Linked DNA regions of Macaca fascicularis. The protein of the gene in region 2 interacts with the protein of the main gene of each other region in a biochemical or structural test. Links are inferred from orthologs where the notes say so. Each region holds a gene or a part of one and is shown on either strand. Other genes may lie near its edges. The genes, in order: PROS1 and F5.

The links.
Region 1: the proteins of F5 (region 2) and PROS1 form a complex in vitro, tested with the Homo sapiens proteins (2 studies listed by BioGRID). The link is inferred for Macaca fascicularis from reciprocal best matches to the Homo sapiens genes F5 and PROS1.

Annotation. Positions count from the first base shown.
Region 1 is NC_088376.1:188,832,032-188,844,432, forward strand, and holds part of PROS1 (vitamin K-dependent protein S), read left to right. Parts: intron 1-5,838; coding exon 5,839-5,961; intron 5,962-6,066; coding exon 6,067-6,198; intron 6,199-10,570; coding exon 10,571-10,696; intron 10,697-12,401. UniProt on the Homo sapiens protein: Anticoagulant plasma protein; it is a cofactor to activated protein C in the degradation of coagulation factors Va and VIIIa. It helps to prevent coagulation and stimulating fibrinolysis.
Region 2 is NC_088375.1:27,209,516-27,222,546, forward strand, and holds the start of F5 (coagulation factor V), read right to left. Parts: upstream 7,924-13,031; 5' UTR 7,817-7,923; coding exon 7,659-7,816; intron 3,918-7,658; coding exon 3,826-3,917; intron 1-3,825. Other genes in the region: SELP (P-selectin), read right to left, coding at 11,618-11,672, 12,903-12,933. UniProt on the Homo sapiens protein: Central regulator of hemostasis. It serves as a critical cofactor for the prothrombinase activity of factor Xa that results in the activation of prothrombin to thrombin.

The DNA.
Region 1 (12,401 bases), on a different chromosome or scaffold from region 2:
AATCCTCCTACCTGGGCCTCCCAAACTGCTAGGATTACAGGCATGAAACATTCCAGGCCCTACTTTGTACTTCTTAATATTGCTCTTTTTCTCTGCTAATATTCCTTATTTTAAAATCTATCTTATATTAATATAGTCACTCTAGCTTTCTTTTGATTAGTGTTTTTATGGTTTACTTTTCCGTCCATTAACTTTGAACATACCAGTATGTTTATATTTCAAGTGAGTTTCTTTTGGGTCTTGCTGTTTTCTCCAATCTGACAATGTCTGTCTTTTAAGTGGAGTGTTAGACTATAAACATTTACATTTAATGTTACCATTGATGATGGTTAAAGTCCATTAATCCCATCTGTTCTTTTTTTTTTTTTTTTTTTTTTTGCGGGGTGGCGTGGGGCTGGAAGTTGATTACATTTTTCCATTTTATCTCCTCTGTTATTAATTATGCTTCTCAAACTTCTTTTACTCATTTCTTTTCTTTTCTTCTTTTCTTTTTTTTTTTTTTTTTTTTTCTTTCGGTCAGGATCTCACTCTCTAGCCCAGGCTGGAGTGTGGTGGGGTGATCATAGCTCATTGCAGCCTTGAACTCCTGGTCTCAAATCCTTCTTCCTTTCTGCCTCAGCCTCCTTAGTAGCTAGGGCTGCAGGCATGTAGCACCATGTCCAGCTAATTTTTAAATTTGTTTGTAGAGATAGGGTCTCACTTTGTTGCCTAGATAGTTTTGAACTCCTGGCTTCAAGTGATCTTTTTACCTTGGCCTTCCAAAGTGCTGGGATTACAGGCATGAGCCACTGTGCCAGACCTCATTTCCTCTATTTTTTTGTGTGTGTTGTTTCTGCCTTACATTTTAATATTATACATTATAAACTCCATGATATGTTAATTTATAAATAGATTATCAAATGAGAAAATATTGTTTTATTGTTTTATTTATTTATTTTTGAGACAGAGTCTTGTGCTGTCATCTAAGCTGGAGTGCAGTGGCACAATCTCAGCTCATTGCAACCTCTGTCTGCTGGATTCAAATCATTCTTGTGCCTCAGCCTCCCAAGTAGCTGGGATTACAGGCCTGGCTAATTTTTTTGTATTTTTGTGGAGACAGGGTTTTGCCATGTTGCCTAGGCTGGCCTCAAATTCCTGGCTGCAAGTGATCCACCCACCTTGGCCTCCCAAAATGCTAGGATTACAGGCATGAGCCATTGGCACCTGTCCCAGAAAACATTGTTCTGTATTTTCTCATATGTTTACCATTTCTGGCATTCCATATTCTTTTTTATAGATCCACATTTCCATCTGACAACATGTTCCTTCTGCCTGAAGAAATTCCTTTAACATTTCTTATACTACATATCTGATGAAGATGGATTTTTCTCTCTCTCTTTTTTTTTTTTTTTTTGAGACAGAGTCTGGCTCTGTCACCCAGGCTACAGTGCAGTGGCACAACCTCAGCTCACTGCAAGCTCCATCTCCCGGGTTCATGCCATTCTCCTGCCTCAGCTCCCGAGTAGCTAGGACTACAGGTGCCTGCCACCACGCCCAGCTAATTTGTTGTATTTTTTGTAGAGACAGGGTTTCACCCTGTTAGCCAGGGTTTGATTTCCTGACCTTGTGATCCGACTGCCTTGGCCTCCCAAAGTGCTGGGATTACAGGCATAAGCCACCGTGCCCAGCCTTTCTCATATTTTTTAATTAAAAAATAGTATATTGCCTTTATTTTGGGGAGATATTTTTATTGGGTAAAGACTTCCATGTTGATAGTGTTCCATCAGTATGTCAAAGATGTCTGTCCATTGTCCTTACACTTGAATAGATGCTGATGGGAAAACTACTGTTATTCTTAGTTTTTTTTTTTCTTCTATGTATGCACTGTGTTTTAGATTTCTCTTTTTCCCTGGTTTTCTCTAATTTGACATAGTATTTTTAGGTTTATCCTGATTGGTGTTTAGTGGGCTTCTTGGATCTGCATGTTCATAGTTTTCATCAAATTTAGAAAACGATTTACTATTATTTATTCAAATTTCTTTTTTCTTTTTCCCTGCTATCTTTCCTCTTCTCTTGGAATGTCCATAACATGTATTAGGCCACTTGATATTGTTTAACGAGTCATTCATGCTCTAATTATTTATCAGTTTATTTATGTATTTATTGTTTTTATACTTCTTATCTGTCCTTCCTTAATTTTGGATAGTTTTTATGTCTTCAAGTTCACTCTTCCTTTCTTCTCCCATGGATAATTTACTTTTAATCCCATTTAGTGTATTTTTCATTTTATATAGTCTATTTTTCATTTCAATACATCCCATTTGGGTCTGTTCCACATCTGCTATTTTATTTTATTTTTTTTCATCATGCCTATATTTACTACTGGAACATGTGGAATGCACTTAAAATAATTTTATTTATTTATTTTTCTGATTTTTTTGTCATGTCTTTCATTTTAGATATATTTTCATCTACTGATTTTTCTCTTGGTTATAATTTTTTTTTCTTGTTTCTTTACATGCCTATTATTTTCTTAATTTAATTTAATTTTACATTATGCTTTATTTTATTTGGATATAAGATCTCACTGTTACCCAGACTGGAGTCCAGTGGTATGATCATAACTCACAGTAACTTCAAACTCCTGGTCTCAAGCTATCCCCCTACCTTAGCCTCTCAAATAGCTGGGACAACAGGCATGGACTACCACAGGTGGGGAATTTATTTTTTAAATTAATTTTAAAGATTACATCTCGGTATGTTGCCAAAACTGGTCTTAACTCCTGGCCTCAAATGATCCTCCCTCATCTGCCTCCCAAAGTGCAGAGTGAACCACTGCATCTGACTCCTACTTATTTTTAATTGTTTACTGAACCAAACAAACAATACTATTCTCAGTATAAATAGAAAAAAAGAACTTAGAACTTTCAGTTTGGGCTAAGATGATGTAACAGGGACCAAGTTTATCCTCCTGCCTTAAATAAGTAGAACTTCAGTCTGAGTATATAAAATAATGGTTATGAACATTGGAGAACAGGAAGCAGAACACTGTGAGTCCTAAGGGAAAGAAAATAAGCTTACAGCTTATGTTGCTGGGTCCTGGATTTTTTTGTCTTCTTCCAAATAGTGTTTAATTTTGTTGTGGCATTTAGGTAACTTATGTGGAATACATTAAAAACAAATCTTTTGAGGTTTGATTTTAAGCTCTATTAAGGCAATCCTGAGTAGCCATTAGCTTAAAACTAATTTAGCTTCAATAATAAGTCTATGTCCTTGTGAGGAGTCTACCTGATGCCCTTTGTACTATGAAATATTTTAGGTCTAGGTAGTCTAAAACAAACTATCCCTATCCCTCTATGAGCTCTGGAAATTTTCCTGTGCAAATCATCATTCAGCCAAAGACCTTAGGGGATCTTTTTGCAGATCTCTGGAGACTCTCTTTCTCTTTTTCTCTCTCTCTCTTTTCCTCTCTCTTTCCATACACACATACATTTTTTTTTCCCTCTCTCTGCCTTTATAGTACTCTGACCAGCAAAATTCTAATTTGATCTCCCCAAACTCCAATATTTGTTTTCTCAACCCAGGGAGACCACTGGGCTCTGTTTGTGTTTCTTGCACTGTTGCATAGAAGCTATCTCCAGGCACTAATGTGGTCCAATTGTAGGTCTCAGCTTGTTTATTTTCTTTTCTTTAGGAATCATGATGTTCTCCTTCCTGTTCTCCAATGTTTGAAAAATAATTATTTTACACAGTTAGACTGAAGTTCTACTTATTTAAGGCAGGAAGATAAATCTGTTCCTTGTTACATCATCTTAGCCCAAATTGAAAGTTTTAAGTTCTTTTTTCTTTTCTTTCTTTTTTTTTTGAGAGAGAGCCTTGCTCTATCACAGTGGCATGATCTTGGCTTACTGAAGCCTCTGCCTCCCAGGTTCAAGCAATTCTTGTACTTTAGACTCTGGAGTAGCTAGGACTACAGGAGTGTGCCATCATGCCCAGCTAAGTTTTGTATTTTTAGTAGAGACAGGGTTTCACCTTGTTGCCCAGGCCCCAAGTGATCGGCCTGCCTTGGTCTCCCAAAGTGCTGGGATTACAGGTGTGAGCCATCATGCCTAACCTCTTTTTTCTCTTAATGTTGAGAATAGTATTGTTCTGTCTACCTCATGGGATTGTTCTAAGGCTCAAATGAGGTAATATATTTGGAAAAATATCTAAATTACAGTTACAAAATACTGTATATATTTGCAATGTAAAAGTAGTGTTATGGAATCTTTGGGATGTTGCTTTTCTGTCTGGAAACTTCTGTAGCCAGTAATGCCTTTGCCCGAGTTCTTGTCCTGCATCGATGAAAAGTGAGGTATGCAGAAAAGTAGAGAGTGAGCAAGATGAACAGGAGCGTTACTGAGCATTAGAACAGCTTAGAGGACACCCTCAGTGGGTAGCTCATCTCTGTAGGCAGGTTGTCCCATCAAGTGTTCAGCTCTCAGCGGAGAGGAGGCCTTGAAGCGGGTGGCTCCTCTTTGTAGCCAGGTCATCCCATTGTCTCTGCAGCTGTCAGTAGAGAGGAGGCCTAGAGTGGGTGGCTCCTCTCTGCTGCTGGTTGTCCCATCAGCAGCTCTCAGCAGAGGAGGGCCTGGAGAGGGTGGTTCTTCTCTGCAGACAGGTCATTCGATGTCTGCAGCTCCCAGTAGAGAGGAGGCCCTGGAGGTGGTAGCTCCTATCTGCAGCTGGTCGTCTGTATATCTGTTCTGTTCTGGCTGAGTCTAGGGTTTTTATAGTCTTTAGAGTGGGAAAGTGCATGCAGACTGGTCCATGGGCTGCCACGGGTGGGCCCAGGAAAAAGCACCAAGAGTTCCCCCTTCAGTCAGCAGGACTGGCAGCCCAGCCCATAGGCCTCAGGCCTTTCCCAGTCTGAAGGTGGGACTTCACGGGGATCCACCCTTTTCCACACAGGCAGCTGTCTACCTCTTGCCACTGTGCATGGCACCCAGGCTCTTTGTGCCAAGGGGGTGCCTGCAGGCCAGCGCTGAGCTGCCCTCAGCACCCCTGTCAGCTCCCCTCCCATGCTTGTTGGAGCCCAAAGACTGGAGGGGGCTGGGGGCTGGCATTTTAGCACTGCCCTGAGCCTGTGCCCACCCGGCCAGGCTGCAACAGCAGCCGGCTTCAGCCCCAACCTTGTTCCATGACCAGAGTGGGTGCCAGCAGTGAGGAGAGACCAGGAAGCAGGAGCAGGCATTTCTGAGCCTGTGGTGGGCACAATGGGCCTTCCCAGGCCCCCAAGAGCACAGAGATGCCCAGGTTTACAGCCAGGCTTGGGCAGCTGCAGCTGCACTCAGGGGACTCTTGTCCCACCAGTTTGGAAGGGGTGGGGCTCCCCTTTGTCCTTGGCTTTCACCAGCTCTGTGGCGCGTGCAGCCCCAGCCGTGCCTCTTAGATCAGGGTGGATGCCTGCTTCAGGGAGAAGCCTGGAAGCGGGAGCAGGCCCCCAGGAGCACAGAGACACCCGGGTCCAGAGCCACGGCAGGGAAGCTGCAGCAGCATCCGGGGAGTGTGGGGCTCCTACCTGCTCTGTGGAGAGTGGGAGACCCTGGCCCACCTCCCTACTGCAGCTGGCATCTTGACAGCAGCCACTCTAGATGGGCCACTGCTGCCATCTGTAGTTTATTTTTACAAAATAATTATAAAGATTTACCTAATGGACTCACTTTTTAACTTAAGAAAAGTATTATTTAAAGGGAGGAGTTGTGCTTTTTTTTTTTTTTCCATTGGTTCCAGGCTTCAGGATTTTTATTATAGTGCACACAATTTTCTTTTACCATGACATGAGGTAAAAAAAAATAAATAGATGTCTATTTCCTTCAGCCATTCCAGACCAGTGTAGTCCTCTGCCATGCAATGAAGATGGATATATGAGCTGCAAAGATGGAAAAGCTTCTTTCACTTGCACTTGTAAACCAGGCTGGCAAGGAGAAAAGTGTGAATTTGGTATGTATAACAACCCCCGCCCCCCAGCTCATCAGGATTGGTCTCCTGGAAAGTTCTCTGCAGGTTATATTACTTTAAAAATATTTCGTTTTTTTCCTGTTTTAGATATAAATGAATGCAAAGATCCCTCAAATATAAATGGAGGTTGCAGTCAAATTTGTGATAATACACCTGGAAGTTACCACTGTTCCTGTAAAAGTGGTTTTGTTATGCTTTCAAATAAGAAAGACTGTAAAGGTAAGAGCAGGATGGTAGAATTAAAACGCATTTACTGTATGAGAATAATCCCAGTTAGAGAAATTTTACTAGCACATTTTTGGAAAAATGATTGTAAGTGCTTATACGAACACATTTTTATCCACATTGAAGCCTTGTGATACTGTGGAACTGCTTTTTAATTTTTGTTTGTTTTTGAGAGAGAGGGTCTCACTCTGTCTCCCCGGCTGGAGTGCAGTGGCTCTATCACGGCTCACTGTAGCCTTGACCTCCCGAGCTTAATTGATCCTCTGACTTCAGCCTCCCAAGTAGCTGGGACTACAGGTGCATGCCACCGTGTCCAGCTAATTTTGTTTTGTATTTTTTGTAGAGATGGGGTTTCACCATGTTGCCCAAACTGATCTTGAATTCAAGTGAGCCTCCTGCCTCAGCCTACCAAAGTGTCGGGTTTACAGGTGGGAGCTCTGTGCCTGGCATGTATTTTAGTTTACAGTACTGATAACGTGATTTTTAAAAATTTTCTTATTGTATGTGCGTGTACACACTTGTGTGCATGTTTCAATAAGGAATTTCATTATAAAATGACATTTCAATGCAAGTCTTTGCATGCTACAAACTTTGCAAAATCATTGTTTATCCTCTGTCTTCAGACATTATATTTTTTATTTTCTTCTAGTAAGATAAGTAGCCATAGAAAGAAATCCACTGCAATAACCTCTTCCATTGTATTTTATTTTTCCTTTTCAGAAATACTTTTCTGATTTCCAGTATCAATCCTTCATCTGGCACTTCATTTCCTGTTGTGGTTTTGGGAAAGAAAAGAAGATCTAGTTTCTTTCTCTTTCTGCCTTTAAGATCATATCACTGGTCATAACTCGTTTTCTTCTTCAGTCTTAAATATTCCCCGTTAGTTTAGCTTTCTAACAAATCATTTTACTAGTGTATTTCTTTTATTTTTCATTGTTTTCCTATCCCTACATTTTGACTTTTTTTTCTCTCTGTATGCTGTCTTTCAGTTTGGCTGTGTTAATGCTATGACTAAATCTTCAAATATTCATACCAGGTGTGTGGATGACTAAAAGCAAGATTTCCTACCTGGACTTAAAATTTTCCTTTAGAAACTGGATACAATTAATATCAACATTCTCTCCTCCACTACTTTTTTTTTTTTTGTTTTGCTAAAATGTTAAAAAAAAAAAAAAGGAAGTTAAAATGTGAATTTCTTGTTCAACTCTTTATTTTATATATGTTTTGGTAAAGCCCTAAATTAGATTCGTATTCAAATCATCTATCTCTTACTGAATAACAGTGTTTAATATGATAAACTTTACTATAGTATTATTTAAACTGCAGTTAAATGACTCTAAAGTGAACACATTAACAACAAATTCTTCTAAACAGTTACCCAATGTGTGACCATGTATCTTTCTTATCCGCCTATTTGAAGGTCTGTTTGTGTTTGGATTTTGAGACTACTTAGAATAAGACTGTCATTAGAACATGAGTTATAGAAAAACCATCACGATGCTGGATACCATATGCATTTTATAAACAAATAGTACCCATTGATACTTCTACACTTAAATACTTTAATAGTCTCTTTCTAAAGAATTTTTGTTTTTATTTATTTATTTTTTAAGATAGGGTTTTGCCTGTCACCTAGGCTGGAGTGCAGTGGAATGATCTCAACTCACTACAGCGTCCATCTCCTGGGAGGTCCTCCCACCTCACCGTCCTAAGTAGCTGGGACTACAGGCATGCACCACCATGCCTGGCTAATGTTTGTAGCTTCTGTACAGATACAGACGGAGTTCTGCCACATTGTCCAGGCTGATCTCAAATTCTTGGGCTGAAGCTTCAACCTCACAAGGTCATGAGATTACAGGCATGAGCCACCGCACCTGGCCAAATTTGTGACTTTTTAAAAACTCAAAAGTATTTTAAATTCTTATCCACTCAGTTAAAACACACATATATGTGTAAATGATTACAAAAGTGCTCTTATTAATAGGAATGTTCTTGATGACCACATCTGTTCTTATATTTATTTACATTATTGTTTACCCATGATATGTAAGTAATAGAGTAGAAAACAGATAGAAGAATATATGAAAAACTATTACAGCCAGGCGTAGTGGCTCACGCCTGTAATCCCAGCACTTTGGGAGACTGAGATGGGCGGATCACGAGGTCAGGAGATCAAGATCATCCTGGCTAACACGGTGAAACCCCGACTCTACTAAAAATACAAAAAAATAGCCGGGCGAGGTGCCGGGCGCCTGCAGTCCCAGCTACTCGGGAGGTTGAGGCAGGAGAATGGCGGGAACCCGGGAGGCGGAGCTTGCAGTGAGCCGAGATCGCGCCACTGCACTCCAGCCTGGGCCACAGAGTGAGACTCCGCCTCAAAAAAAAAAAAAAAAGAAAGAAAGAAAAAACAACAACAAGAAAAAACTATTACAATGGGACCTTTGCCACGATGTAGAAATGCTTGGGATCCAGTTGCCAGTAACTGTCTAAAGATGAAAGAATAAAACTTTTCTCTTCTTGTTCTTCTTCTTTCTTTTCTTTCTTTTTTTTTTTTTTTTTCGAGACAGAGTCTCGCTATGATGCCCAGGCTGGTATGTAGTGTGAGCTCGGCTCACTTCAACCTGTGTTTTGCGGGTTCAAGTGATTCTTCTGCCTCAGCCTCCCGAGTAGCTGGGACTACAGATGCACGCCACCATGCCTGGCTAATTTTGCATTTTTCGGTAAAGACGAGGTTTTGCCATGTTGACCAGGCCGCTCTTGAACGCCTGAGCTCAAGTGATCTGCCCGCCTTGGCCTTCCAAAGTGCTGGGATTACAGACATGAGCCACTGTGCCCAGCTGAAAGAATAAAACTTTACAATCAGACATCAGATGTCGGTGTGGAGTCATAAAACCAATGTACTGTAACTTAAACTTGTATGATCTAAATAATTCCCTGCAATATGCCTCAAACCAAATGCACTTAGTGACATATTTTCACTGATTTTATTTTATTTTATTATGTATTTATTTAGTGACAGGGTCTCCCTCTGTCACCCAGGGTGGAGTGGAGTGGTGCAATCATAGTTCAAGGCACCCTAACTTCTGGGTTCAAGTGATCCTCTTGCCTTATCCTCCTTAGTAAGAAGAACACATGCCACCACTCCTGGCTAATTTTTTCTCTTTTCCTTTTTTTTTTTTTATATAGAAGTGGGGTTCCACCATGTTGCTCAGGCTGGTCTCGAACACTTTGGCCTCCCAAAGTAATAGGACTACAGCACTGCCACCATGGCCGGCCACTCCTGGCTAATTTAAGAAAAAAACTTTGTAGAGACAGTGTCCCACTGTTGCTCAGGCTTACTTTATTTCAAAAACATAGTTTTTAGCTCTTTTTAAGACATTGGATATTTTACTTTGAATTAATTAAAGATTCACATGAAGTTGTAAGAAGTAATACAGAGAGATGCTATATACCTACCCTTTACCTCGTTTTCCCTCAATGGTAATATTTTACAAAATGATAGTACAATTTCACACTCAGGATGTTGACAATGATACAGTCAAAATATAGAAAAATTCCTACAAGGAAACTGGTTTTATTATTTTTGTGCAAGTTATTTTAAATAATATCCTAAATTTTGACTATTAATCTGGAAAAAAGGTGGTCAACTTTTGGAATAGAAAACATATTTTCTGTTCTGAATTTGTCTTTCTCCAGAGAGTACGCAGAAGAGATAATAATTACATCTCCATTGAACTATTTCTGCCGCATGTTTTGTTTTCTTCACAGGTGCTCATCGAGTAACTAGTTACTATCAATGTGTTGTCTCCTTCATTTTGCACTATAATATATGCATCTGAAATTTCTGGAATATTCATTTAGCACTAAATTCATATTGGATTAACTGCAGATTTATAAGTACTTAGAGACCTTAATCTTGTTTTAAATTTGAATCACTATCGTCTGCTTTAGACAATAGTAGTGTACAAATTAGATGTTTGTTCATTTCCAAAGAAACAAGATAGAATAGATGAGCCATCCCATGTACAAAAAATAATTATGATAATGTGGAGTGAATCTGTTTTCAAGACCTCTTTATTTTCATACCACAACCTGGCAGATAAGAATATTTTTAAAGCTTTCTCCTTCTTAACATAACTAGAAAGGAACATGGCAAACATGAATCAAATTCCCTATGCATTTGTAGAAAGAAATCATATTTAGTGAACTAACATATGATGATAGATTTAATGTTTTTTTGTCCGAAGGCCAATCTGTTATCTCATTACGTATATTAAACTAGTCCAGGAAACACAAATCAAGGGTTCTTTGCTAGTGTCTGCTGGTATGGGAAAAATGTTTTTTAATATGGTTATTTTATTTATAGATGTGGATGAATGCTCTTTGAAGCCAAACATGTGTGGCACAGCTGTGTGCAAGAACATTCCAGGAGATTTTGAATGTGAATGCCCTGAAGGCTACAGATATAATCTCAAATCAAAGTCTTGTGAAGGTAGAATGATGGTAGTATCATTACTGATTGTGGAGAGGGTGTGTGTGAAGCCTGAACTGATATTTGAAAGCATTGGTTTTGTTTGACTTCAACAGTCATACTTTCTTATCCCTAGTATAGATTGTTCAATTGGGTAATCATTGGCTTTCTTCCAGAGTAAAAGTGTGTAAGACACATGGTCTTTAAGTTTAGTGTTATGCGCGCCAATTGGCCCTTTGCGCTACCTATGAATTGGAGACCTCCATGTGTGATATAAACATATTAAACATATTTTCACGTCATTTACATTATATTCAAAGGTAAAGAGAATTTCAGTTTGGAAGGAAAAACAGTAGATAGAAAAGAAAGACACAAGCTTAAAAGTCATCTGAGTGAGACAATGAGCATGGTTATAAACTTTAGTTTTTATTCCAAGCTTTTCAGTGATTTTTCAGGGCATATATAAATAAGTCATTTATTCTAAAATAAAAAGTGACACAGTTCTATTATCTCATGATAAAGAAATGATAACAATACACTAGAAATTTAAGAAATATTGATCAGTAATGTCAGAGCCTGTGGGTTTGGGGCAACCCCTTGAAGGTGCTGTTGCTTCGAGTGACTGCAGTGGCTCTGCCCTGTGTGCCCCAGGAAGCTTCAACATATTATAGTTGTTTGTTTGTAGGTCTGTTTATCATGATATACAGATTATTCCATACCTTCCTTTGGATTTTTTAAAATTTTAAAACAGATTTAATGCCATGGCTGGAACTAATCAATACTAATTTTTCTATTGTGGTTGTGTGTGTGTGTGTGTGTGTGTGTGTGTGTATGTGTGTGTATATACATACATAAGAAAATATTATATATATATACACACATACATATATGTATGTATATTCACACTCATGTATAGTGTACCTTTTAAAAAATAGATATGTGGGTACAAGTACAGTTTTAATGTACCCTTTTAACCATTTTTAAATGTACAATTCGGTGGCATTAATTACATTCTTGCCATTGTGCAGCCATCACTGCTATTTCCAAAACTTTTTCATCAGCCCAAACAAAAACTTTTAAGCAGTAACCATTAAGCAGTGAGTTTTCTTTTATTAGTTACCTTGATGGAAGTAACTTCTACTCTTGTTTCTTGTCTCTATGAAGTTGCCTAAATCAATAATAATTTTACAATGTATTTTTTAACTACGTATGCTGCTTTTGAGATTTTGATGTCCTATCTCCTTTTGCATTCACCAAAAATATTCCCCTGCCCACCACACACACATTTCTCCTTTCCCACCATTGCAGATAGAAATTACCACGGATAACTCTAGACATCTGCAGAATTATCATTAACCAACTTCATCCCCTGTACTGTAGTTTTATTTAACGAATGACATATTTTATAAAAGATTTATATATGACTCTTATCTGATCTATAAATTTAATAATATGCAATTTTAATACTATTGAAGGATTATTAATTTTGGGAATCTATTTTAAATTATTTTATGGGAACATATTCAATAATAGCATTTATGAACTTGTGGAGTTTTAAAGGTCATAGGGCATAGCCAATGAAAATGTAAATGATCTTATATAGTTCTGAGATAGATGTTTGCTTCAACATAATATTATAAATTTCCAAGAATGATTTTCTCAAAATATGGAGTAGGGACAGGGACCATATAGATTTCGTAATATGGGAGATTACATCATAGCGAGG
Region 2 (13,031 bases):
AGGGATTAAAGTTTGCTTAGCTTGGCAAAAGCCACAAAAGGTACACCTTCAAATACCTGCCAATTCCTCTTAATGAGTATGTTTCCCACCTCATATTCCCTTCATCTACCTACAATTTAATTTAATTAAACAGTTCTTAAGTATCTATTGTATATGCTAAGCTTGGAGCTGGAGCTCTGAAAATGAATAGACTCTGTGATATAGGACAGGACATCCTTCAACTTCCTGCTCACAACTACAAACTTAATTTTATTGGCAACGTTATCTTCTGCTTTCCGGGCCCCCAATGAAGGTAGTAGCCATTCTACCTAAGGCCAAGCTGGCCCAAGGTTTGAATCCCAATGCTTCCTGCTTCTTCCAAGTCCTCTCTCTCAGATGTTTTTATCCCCTCGTTTTCTATTGGAAAGGACTTTGTGGCATTTCTATGGAGTCTTCCCTTTAATATTTTAAGTCTCTGTATTCCTTTTTATAAAATTATCAAATATCCTGAAGCTCCTGAGTCCGCCTCAGAAGTACACTGTCTCTCCTCCCATCTGGAACCAAGTTTCAGGGAAGAGTTATCTGTAAGACCCTTCTGCTTCAGTTTCCTTGCCTTCCATTCACTCCTCATCCTGCCATCTGGACTTGCCCCACTATTCCATAATAAAAGGACCATATTTTGGCCCTTATATTAATAACTCTTCATAGCATTTGACCCTTTGCTTCCAGGATACCACATTCTCTAGATTTTTTCTCCCCTCCCTGAACAGGCTTTCTCAAGCTCCTTAGTAAACTTTTCTTTCTTGGCTCATCCCTTGGACTTTGCTGCTACTTTGAGCTCTGTCTGCAGCCTTCTCTTCTCATCATATCCTCCCTGGTAAATTTACACCCTCTAAAGGCTTCAATTACCATCTTTGTTCTGATGTCTCCCAAATGTTTACAGCTAGCTCAGTTCTCTCTTTTGAGGGCCAAACTTCTACACCGATCTGCTCATTTAACATCTCTAGGTAGACATTCTATAGACAGACTCCAAATCTATACTTCTCACCTTCCCTCACAAACTATCTCCTTTTCTTAAATTTTCTTTCTTACTGATAGGCACCCTATCCACTCTGCTGTTTAAACCAGAACCTTGAAGTCCATAATAATTCCCTTTTCTTCCTCATTATCACATCTAATGAGTCACCAAGTTTAATTGATTTTAGCTCCTAAATCATTTTCCCCATCTCATTTTCCCCATCTCAGCTTCTCTGCTATCTGGATTGATACAACAGTCCCATAACTGGTTTCTCTGGCTCTGGACTCTGGTCTTCCTCCAATCCATTCTCTATAATTGGAGAGGATTGTCTTTCTAAAGGACAAATCTTTCTCCTGCTGAAATCCTATTAGGGACTCCCTATTCCTCTCACTATAAAGCCTAGCATGGATGCCTGATCTCCATCTAGTTGCATCTCTTGTTAATTCCTTCCCTGAAGTTTGTGCTCCAGCTGTGCTGATCCAGTTATGGTTCCACAAACATACCATACTCTCACCTCCAAACTTTGAAACATTCTGTGCCTTGGTTTAAAATGCATCTACCCTCCAATGCCTTGCCTCCCCACTTGGATTTCCAAGATCCTACTCTTTTTTCAGCTATCAACCTAGAAAGAGAAGTACTTTCCTGCCCACCAGACTGGAGATAGGTCTCCTATGTCCTACTACAAAATCCTCATCATAGTTCTTCCTTGTTACTCTACTGTCATTGCTTGTCTACCTATAGGTTATCCCCAGTAGCTGGTTGACTCCTGGAAGTCAAGGTCCATGTCTTATTCACTGAATCCCAGAACCTGGAATGTGGTAGGTTCTCAATACACAATTTTTTTTTTTTTTTTTTTTTTTTTGAGATGGAGTCTCGCTCTGTCACCCAGGCTGGAGTGAAATGATGCGATCTTTGCTCACTGCAGCCTCCACCTCCTGGGTTCAAGTGATTCTCATGTCTCAGCCTCCTGAGTAGCTGGGGCTACAGGCACACACCACCATGTGCAACTAATTTTTGTATTTTCAGTAGACACAGGGTTTCACCATGTGGGCCAGGCTGGTCTGGAGCTCCTGACTTCAAGTGATCCGTCTTGGCCTCCCAAAGTGCATGAGCCACCATGCCCGGCCTCAATACACAATTATTTTAAAATAAAAGAATATTTAAATGCAGATTTGTTTAAAATTAAATAAATATATAAATGAACACATATGAAGAATATATAAATGAGTGGAGAAATATAGATATATAGATATCCATAATACTATGATATATATGATCTAAGTTATGATTAATAATAGCAGCAACAATAACAATAATGTAGCTAACTTCTACTGAGTGCCTATTGTGTGTCAGCATCATTATAAATACTTTGTACATAATATCTTTAGAAGATAGGGATTAATTCAAGGTACTAGGGGTGTATAGAAGAGGGAAGACTTAATTCTGCTGATATGGAGGGGGTGTCAGTGTAGCTTCAGAGGGAAAGTGGCTTCTGGGTAGGTCGTAGTGAAAGCTTTGGTTTTGGGTGAGATTGGAACCCTAGGGGAGAATATCTGGTGGGGATACTGAGCAGGAGTGGTAAGAGAAGTCAGAAAACCCAGGGGAAGTGACAATAGAAAAACCAGGTAAAGAGAGAGCTTCAAAAAGGAAGAGTGTTAAATGTCCTAGTAATGTCTAGTAGTAAAAGAACATAGGCTCTGGCACCTCAAGTCCTGAGTGCCCTTTTGTAAGAGTAATTTTAGTAGACTCATTCATACTAAAGCAGATTAGGAAAAGAATATAGGCGAAGAAATGTAGAGAATGATACAGAGTCCTCACACAAAAACTGAAGTGAAGGAAAGGAGAGAAAAGGAAAAGGCAGGCAGGGTCACGGGGAGATTTTTTTGTTTTTCTTTTTCTAGATAGGAGTTAACCTGGACATGGTTTGGTCTGGTTTTGGTTTGGTTGTTGATTTTTAACGGAAAGAATGACTCCCACTGAGTAAATATTGAAGATTAAGGGAGATCAGAAGAGGCAGGACAGACTAGGATGATTCTCGGAAAGACAGCAGGTCTTCATCTGGTTGGGGAAAGGGACAGGTGAATTACTGACAAGGGGACTCAACTGGAGGAAGTGCTCCCTTGAGCACTTCATCCCTGTAGAATATGGTATCATAGTTAAGATACTAGAACCCTATTCAACCCAGTCTTCTTGATAAAGGAAGAGATGAGGAAAAAAGAAGAGATTTTCTTTAAAAATTATGGCTATTGTATATATCACACTAGATAAATAGGAGACGCAAAAGAGTCAGCCATACATAGTTACTTTGAATGAATCTAGGGAGCCAAATGGAAGCAAAAAATCATTCTGCAGAGGCACATCTGTGCTCATTAAACTAAACCATAATCTCCGTGAACCCAGGATATGAGACTGTCTCATCCACTGTTGCATCCACAGTGCCTACCTATTTCAATGCCCAGCCCACACCCGGTACTCAATAACAGTTTTTTAGATGAATGAATAAAAATTCAAACACTTATAAGTTTTATTTAGCTATTTTAATCAAGGTTAAAAACAGAGCCAGCTTCATGGGTATGTGACCTGGGCAGTTTCACAGGGCCCCATGCCCCGAAGGGCCCCTGGCTTGGTTTAATGCTTTGCAGTCACTACTTTGAAGTGTTCAGTAATATGAACAAGGGGCCCCACATATTATGCAGCCAGTACTTGTTAAAAAAGAAAACACATATTTCTACAAATTTTCAAGTAAATGGAAATTTTAGATGCATGTGAATGCCAAATTACCCATAGAAATTTATCTTTAAAATTTAAAAAGTATATTTCAGGCTTACCTGAAATGCTAGATTGTGGTTTTTCTTTCTTAAAATATGGTTCATACTCTCTGTAGACAATTTTCTTAAAGGAAGTTGCAGAAAGATTCAAACTGGAAATATAATACAAAAACTAATTTGAAAGGCATATTCAACATCTATTTCTCACATCACAAAAAAAGTAGATCTCTCATATCTTCAGACTTCTAGTAGAATACCAGTATCTTTATTGCATTTCAGAAGCCCACCATTTTATAAATATGATCAATAAATAAAGTTAATGAAATAATTATTGGTCTCTTCAAAAATATCCTGTTGTGATAACTATTTGTTCACAAGTTAATCTACCCTAATATCGTTCCTCAGAATCAATTTTCTAAAAAGAACCCAATATCACAGTATAAACCCAAACTGTAGGTTTAGATTTTATATTATTAAAATATGACCAAATCCTTTATGAATAAATATATGAGCTGTTTTTCAACTGATCAATCAAAAATAGTTTTAATCTACTGGGGAAATTGTGAAAAAGTATTGATTTCGTGGAATTTATTTCTAGTTGAGAGGTGAGAGATGGCTAACGGGGTAAAAGCCCTGGGATTCATATTGGAAACAAACAAATGAAAAATCTGTTTTGGAAACAGTCAGTAACTTGTCTAAGAGACACAGTTGATAAGTGGCAGAACCAATATTAAAAAATGTGAAACCACCGCATTCATGATTTAAAAAAATATTAGAGAGAGGACAGACAACAGGGAGAGTCGTGAGTGGTGAGTTACTTTCCTGTTGTTGCTGTTGTTGTTGTTGTTATTGTTCTGTACCTCTAAAGACACATCATTCTTATCCTTGTCTTAAACTCAAAGATGAGGGTAAAAGGAAAGAGAATTCAGAGAAAATACCTTACAAATGTCTCAATTTGATCAGAGTGGCTTTGTTTTGCTTCCTAATGCGGGGACAGTGACCCAGCCATAATCAAGACATAACAGCACCCACGTATGCCATGCCTTCTATACAGCACGGTGGCTAGGGTGCAGGCTGTGAATTCAGTATCTCTGGACTTGAAGACTACATCTACCTCTTATTGTTTTATCTTGAAAAGTTTACTTAATTCATTTGTGCCTCAGTTTCTACAACTATAAGATGAGATTAATACTGAAATCTCCCTCACAGAATTGTTGTATAATTTTAAATAAGTTGATATGTACAAAAGGCACAGAACTGGCACACTAGAAATACTTAATCCATGTTAGCTAGTAATATTTTGTAAATATAATTAGAGTTAGTCTTTAGCCTTCAGGTTTTCACAGAAAGCAAAAACAAATCTGTAGTAATAGTAATGCTCACAAATTTTAATATGTGGAATACAGGAACTGTGTTAATATGTGGGGGCAGGATTAAAGGAGGCATGTAAGTACTTTTAGAATGGCTAGATAGAGAAGGTAGTGGATTCACTGGCAGTATTCAAGTAGAAATTAGACAACTACTTGGTAAGGTCATTGGTGCTGAGGGCAAGGGAAAAAGTAGAAGGTTAAAACACCTTAATATGTTTGAATATGAATTAAATGACCTCTTAGCGTTCTTATAACTTAAGAATTCTAAGATGCTATATACTAATGTCCCTAATGTGGAAGTCCATTTTTATTTATTTTTTTAGTACAATTGAAAAGTTATTGTCCTCCCCTGCCCCAGATCTTTGATACAGAATGTAGATGATGGTATAAAATCTTTACTAAAAAATATCAGTCTCTTATGTGGAGTAATTTCAACAGAGAGAGGTTTTCTAACAAGTTTTACTATGTATGCTGTGTATTTATACTGAGGTATGTCTATTTTAATCTGAACAATTTCTATTGGAAAATAATCTATCTGATTAAAAAGTTACAGATGATATGAATTCAAACAATGGGTACAATGAGTTTTTCATTTATAAGGATTGTTTAAAGATGATTTGTTCATAGTCACAAAATCATATAAAGCTAGAACCCTAGGAGGAAAATGTATGTGTATCTTTTCTTCAATATCTCTTTGTATTATGTGAGTGACTAAACAAGGTTTCTAAGGAAATTTTTGAAAGTGTTCATCTCTGACTTGGAGCAAGAATAATATGTACATTTTACCTTTACAAGGCATTGTCCTGCTAATATTATATGAAATAAGTAGACGGATTTCTGCTTTGTGCTAAAATACACTTTGCCAAAAGATGGAGTTGTCTACGTTGATATTCATCTAGTGAGCATCATAGCTCTAGGGGCTGGACAAGTTAGAACAAGTTCTTAGTGTAAGCAGCCAGATATATGGATTAGATTTTTCATAAGAAAATGCTAGAGAGAAGTGATATGATTTAGGGTTAAACAATATGACAGTTTGTCTGGGTTATGTTTCTATGGTTTTGACTCAACAATTGCTACCAGAGAAATGACTCTCCAGAACTTTGGAAACTTACCCACAGGGTGAGGGGACAGAATGACCAGTCGTGGTTCCCTGTGTACTCGCCATGTGAATCAGACCTTTGCCCTATGTGATTCTGCCTCCAGCATTTTGCTTGCTATTTTCAATGCTAACTACAGACACGAGAAAAAAACTCCCAAGCGTAAACCCAGCATGCTACAAGAAAGCCAACAACCAAGTTTGCATTCTTCTCATGAGCAGGCAAGATTAGTGTTAGAAGGACTGTTATTTTCCTTGGGGTTTTAGCTTACAGCAGTTCCGAAGGGTGTGGGTGTGACCTAGATTGTTACTTTGAAGTACAATATTTAAAATGATTATTTTTGAAAAGGAGGGATCTCTTCTTATTATAAGACCAAGATCATGTGTAATACCCTGCAAAATAACCCACTTACAATGAGAGTTTTAAAAAGGCTAATATTATACACTAAAAGATCTCAAATATTACATTAGTTTTTGGCAGATTGCTTTGGTTTTGTAATTGTAAAAGAGGAACACATCTTTCATAATAAACTGTGATGTTAGGGAAAAAAGTGAGTCACACTAGCAGGTTGACCATTTAAAAAATAACTAACTGGAAATATTGAATAGACTCTATGATTTAGTTAATTTCTGAGAAGTCTTATTTTTAACATTTCAATTAGAAAAAATAGTTTGCAACTCAAGGGTAGTATTTTATATGAATTAAACCTCCTCTCAGTTACATACCATATCCCAGGACATGATTAACAGAGAGAAAAAAATGAAGAGTCACATTCAGTAGGATAAGTAAGTCATATCCCAGGACATGATTAACAGAGAGAAAAAAATGAAGAGTCACATTCAGAAGGATAAATAAGTCAAATATGAAGCAGAAAAAAGGTGAAAGTACAAAAACATACAAGAACTGATGATATTTTGAAAATCATTTATAAGGCAGCAATAAAATTATATGACAAAAAGCACAAGGTGTTCATTTTTAGTTTTAGAAGATGAAGCTATGTAGACAATGGAACAAATAATACGTAAATAGGAGTCTTATAAAAATACTAAACAACTAAAAATCTGGAACAGGAATTTCCAGAAAGCACTAATGAGGAAGCAATCCCTGGTGCCTTTGAATTCACCAATATATAAGCCAACACAAACATACTAACAAAACTGTATTGAAAATAAACTTGAAAAGAAAGCATCATCTAACCAATCAAATGGAATGCTTTCTATACCCTCAGAATGATAAACTACATTATTGGAGGCAAAATTAGCATTCGCCCAGTTTATTTAATTCAGTGTACTCTCCTATTAGTTATATTTACTTACCTGAAGTTAAAAAAAAAAAAAAAAAAGCCATGACATTGCAAAGGAAATGTTGTCTAAAGAAATAGATTTTCCTCTCTAGAGAAGCCCACCCAGATCCACACCTGAGTTACCTTGAGTTTGTGGACTCAGGTCGGTAGCTCCAACTGATGCCCTGAGCAGCCACGTAGAACTGCCTTAGCTGTACCGCTTCTGTCCCTTGTCTCCCCCAGCCTACCCAGCTGGTGCCCAAGACCACCAGGACCCAGAGGCGTGGGCAGCGTGGGAACATGCTTCCTTTCCTGCTCCCGCTGGCTGCCACCACCCCAGGACCTGGGCAGCCGCTCGTCGAGCTGCTGACTAACCCCGCTCCTGGCTGTCCCAGCTGCAATGAGCTCTGAAGGCTGTGGGTGGCAGCGTCCTTCTCCCCTGCGGTTCTTGCAAACTGCAGCGGCAGCCTCTGCCTCTCCCTCCCTCCCCTTTTTCTGGGGCTTTTCCTGGCAGGGGCTTGGTGAGATCACAGCTCCCAGCGACCAGAGGTATTAGGGAGAGCAACCAAACTAGTGACTGTTTTACTACAGGTGAAGAAGGGGCAGAGATCAGAGGCTCTAGCAGGCGGGACAATGCCCAGGGATTCATGAGCCGGACAAAGCTGTATCCCTCCATTTCCACCGGCCAACACCGCGGAAGCAGTCGACCCTTACCACTGACCTGAGGCCTGCCTGGGTCCGGACAAGCTCACACTTGGAGAACTTTCTGTGAAGTGCAGTGGTACCCAACCACCTTAATCAGATGGCTCCCCTTTTGATCTGAGGAAAAGAGTATTGTGCCCTGTTACCCGGCACTGAAACACTATTTTCAAGTGGTGGAGAAGAAGGGAACAAACACATGGACAAGGCCTACTGCTCTGAATCGCCTTCCTGGTCTCTATCAAGGCACAGTTCTGCCTTGATAAGGGCCTGTAGCTAGCTAAGCTGCAGCATAGCAGAGGGCTTAAAGAACTTGGCTGAAAAAAAAATCAGTTGTCCAGTTTTCAGTTTCACTTACTAGCTGTGTTGTCTTGGGCAAGTTACTGTACCTCTCTGTTCAGTTTTGATATCTGTGAAATAAGGATGACAATAATGGTTTTTCCTGATAGGGTATGTTGGGAGGATAAAATGCTACTGTAAACTATAGTTCCAGCACTTAGCACACAGCAGCTAGGCGTAGTGGCTCAAGCCTGTAACCCCAGCACTTTGGGAGGCCAAGGCAAGTGAATCACCTGAGGTCAGGAGTTCAAGACCAGCCTGGTCAACATAGTGAAACCCTGTATCTACTAAAAATACAAAAAATTAGCCGGGAGTTGTGGTGGACACCTGTAATCCCACCTACTCAAGAGACTGAGGCAAGAGAATTGCTTGAACCCGGAAAGTGGAGGTTGCAGTGAGCTGATAACTTGCCATTTTACTCCAGCCTAGGCTACAAGAATAAAACTCCATCAAAAAAAAAAAAAAAAAGAAAGAAAGAAGAGAGAGCCAGAGAGAGAGAGAGAGAGAGAGAAAGAAAGAAAGTCAGTCAGTCACAAATTTATTACTATGATTATATTTTCCTGTCTCCAGGACCCCTTGTATTCTTGTATTTCTTGAAGGATCTAGTTGTTTCACACCACCTTAAATCTTACTTTGCTGTTAATAGAGAATCTGAGAATTATATCGTGTGAGACATCATAATGACTTGTCCTGGGTTCCCTGTATCTGCATGGCTCCAAGTTTCTGTCATGCTTTATGCATTCAGTACATTCAATAAATTGTAATCTGGCACCTCATGTGAGGTCTCTGTTAATGATGTCAGGCTCATCAACAGCCTCTTCCCCCCTCCCCACTCCCCCCAGTGTTCTGTCTTTCCTCCTGTGCTGATATTATTCTACCAACTTAAAATGCCCATTTTCTTCCTCTTTGCTGGGTCATTCTTTACAGTGCAGGGTTCTGCCTGTCTCCCAGATTCTGGGCTCCAATGGACTTTTCCATTTTATGAACTATTATAACACTATTCAAATTGTATAATCATGTTAATTACCTTTGGTTATTCCATGTAGGTATCTATTGTCTCCCTGATTGAACAGTTGCTTACACTTCTTTATCTACAATGTTATCAGTATCTCCCAAAGTTGGTAGCCCATCAGAATTCCCAGGGGAACTTTTACAAAATGTAGATTCTGACTCAGGAAATAGGGCTGAGACCAAAGTCCTAGAACATCTAGCCTATTGATTGACGTATAAATAAGCAGTCAGAGATGCTACTGGCAGTGTATCAGAGAAACGTTTTGAAAGCACTGTGTCCCTAAATCCCAAGGTTACTACCAACATTGTTGCAACATTACTGTAACCTTTGAGTAGGCTGCTTTTTTTACTTGGATGTTTGCTTATGTATATACAGTATACATGACATGTTTATTGCATTACATTTTACAGAGACAAGATGACTACTATAATGTTTGGCTCTCTATTTTTTTTTAACATCAGTTCCAGATAAACACTGTATAACTTTCAATGACCTATTTATTAAACATGGGATTTGAAGAACATGTAAAATACATTTGTTCTTCCCTGTAAAACATTCAGGTGATGAAGAATTTTTCCATTTCTCTGATTTTCTCTTGGAGTGGAGGGTGTGTGACACAAATTTGCTGGCTGACTGAATGGTTGAGGTGTAAATAGGACAACCATAATTATGTGTTATTACACTGATGGCAAACAATGTGATATACACAGACCTTACTGAACGAACCATCCAATAGAGGAACATGGCATTTGGGGAAAATTCTTTTAATTATACATTTGAATATTGGTCTTTGGGTCCTTTGAGGGACAGTGGCTGGTGGCAGGAAGGTCCACAGTGACATGTATCCTCCTGGCTTGATTCTTGGCCTTCTGCAGCCTCTGGTGCCATCCAGAGGGCTCTCTGGAAGCCTCAGAGCAGAGGTCCAAGAGGCCTCATCAACAGCAACCACTGGAGACTCCAGAAGATGCTACAGGAATTGCTTCCCGTTAGAGATGCCACCTGCTTTCCAACAAAGTAGAGAAAGCCTTCCTTCAATCAAAAAATAAAGAGGTATTTTTGTTTCTCCACAGTCTGGTCTTCTTGTGAGTCAGATGCTCTAGTCTCTTTGGTTCACTGGCAGTTCAAGTGACAGGTGAGTCAAAGCACGGAGACTACTGCAGAAACATTTGCTCCTGGCTTCTGTGGCTTGTATTACAGGAAGAGAAGGGGTGGGGCAGGAAGGGGTGGTAGGTTGAGAATTTGAGATTGTACCACAATCCCAAACTCAGGAAACAGGGTTGGTCCAGAGCTGGTCCAACAGTCTGGTCCAGAGCTAATCTAAGATAATTCCATGTCTTTGATTCACAGGTATTTATGGAAAACTGCAGCAAATGCATTATAGTTAAGTCAAGTCTAGCAGGAAACTTGATGTTCACAACAGGATCATATGGAGCTGAATGAGGTGACCAGGAAAAGGACAGGTCTCTGAAAATGAGACCAAAGAAATTTAAATAATTATCATTTCCTTAAAAAAAAAAAAGGAAAGAAAAAAATTGCTCATCATATCTACCCCCTGAGGCTCAGCATAATCTTTTCTTTCTAGATTTTGAATATTCTGCCATTCAGGTTTTTTGTAGGACACTCAGCTACCCACTGAATTTTTTGGGAGAGGGATAGCATCAGATTATTTTTGTTTTTTCCAGCAGGTAGCATAGGGAATTGACTCCATAACAGTTCGAAAACATTTTTCAGCAGTCTTGACTTCTGCTTTGCAGGAAAGGTCACATCATCACCACCTAGCAGCCAATAATGGAAATGTCACACATCCTGAAATAAGTTATGTCTTGTTAGGACATTTCTGTCCTGGAGGAAATGGAAATCCTTCTGTGAACTCTATTGTCATTCCGTTGTCATACCTGTGTCCTACTGCCAACACAATTTCCTTCATGCCTGAACATCTAATACATACTTAAAACGTAATACATGATTACATAAAGAAAAGTTAAGCTTTATAGTCTTCCTTTTTTCCCTATTGTTCTATTTCCTTCAAAAACATCTTTATAGGTATGTTACCTTAAGAACTCGGGTCAAATGCAGCATTTGTAAAAACTCCATATGTTCCTAGGTGGCTAAAAAACAGAAACACAAGGGTGACCACCATATACTGCTTAGTTGTCAACAACACAGTCCAACACATAGTATTTCCAGAAACCATAAATTACCATCCACCCCTGGAATTCTGCTTTAGAAAGGAAAGAAAAATAAAGGCCAAAGAAATATTCGATATCCCACTTAACAGCTCTGGGTAATTTACATTGTATTTTGTACCCGCACTAAGTTATTGTTGATGTTTTACCTACTGAATACCTGTTATACCCTCTAAGGTGCTGCAACCTCTTCTAGGTGAGAAGAAGTAGTTACAAAATTCTTGGCATTAACACTTAATAATCTAACGGTAGTTTTCAAAAGGGGCAGTGTGCCACCTCGGGGTGTTTTTTGATTTTTATAACCATCAAGAGTTCTACTGATACTGAGTAGGTATGGGGCAAGGGTGCTGGATGTCTGTGACAATAGGGTTCATATAAGGATTTCTATTTCCTCCAGGATGGAAATGTCTTTAAAAGATATCCAGCACCCCTGCCTCCTGCCCACTCAACGTCAGTAGAGCTCTTGTTCGTTGCAAAAATCAAAAGAAATACCCTTGGAGGCATACTGTCCCTTTTTGAAAACTCTTGCTAGATTATAAACAGCAGGGGGTACAGGACACAAAAGAATTGTCCAACACCCCACATAACTTTGGAATATCTGCTCAATATTCATACAGGTTAAAAATCTCTGAGCCTGGAACGCAAGCGCTTTACATGTAAATATTAAGCATTTTTTGCATCTTTAAAAAGTGTAATTGCCATATGAATCAAGGGACAATTATCACAGGTTTTAGGACTCTTTACCAGAGTTGTTCACCATTTTGAAAAATTAGATTAGTGTTGGCCACAGCTCTAATGCTCTCTGAGTCACTAATACAACATTTCCCTATCAGTCCACCTGCATGGCTGCTGCTGTCCTAGTGATTCTGCTGGAAGGTGCATGTTTCTGATGACCTCATTGCATCTGCTGGTGCAGCGCCTAAGTTTTTGCATCGTGTTTTTATTATAAATTACTTTTCATTTTATTTCTACTTTATGTTATAATGAGAATATTTGTTATCTGTGTATTTTACTTCAGAATAGAAGAGAAGACATTTTAAAAGACATTGTAAAAAGGAGGCAGGCATTGCATGTAATCATTCTGACATATTACAGTGAATTATAAAGTCAAGCTAGCAAAATTTACTCAATCATAAAACATTTCTACCTTACCTGTGAGGATTCAAGGGGCATTTCCCATCATCTAAAATAAGCGAGAAGATAAGAATGATTGATTTAAAAAAAAAAAAAAAACAAGATGAAAGAGAGGGTCATTAAGGATAGAAATTATTGGGGAAAACC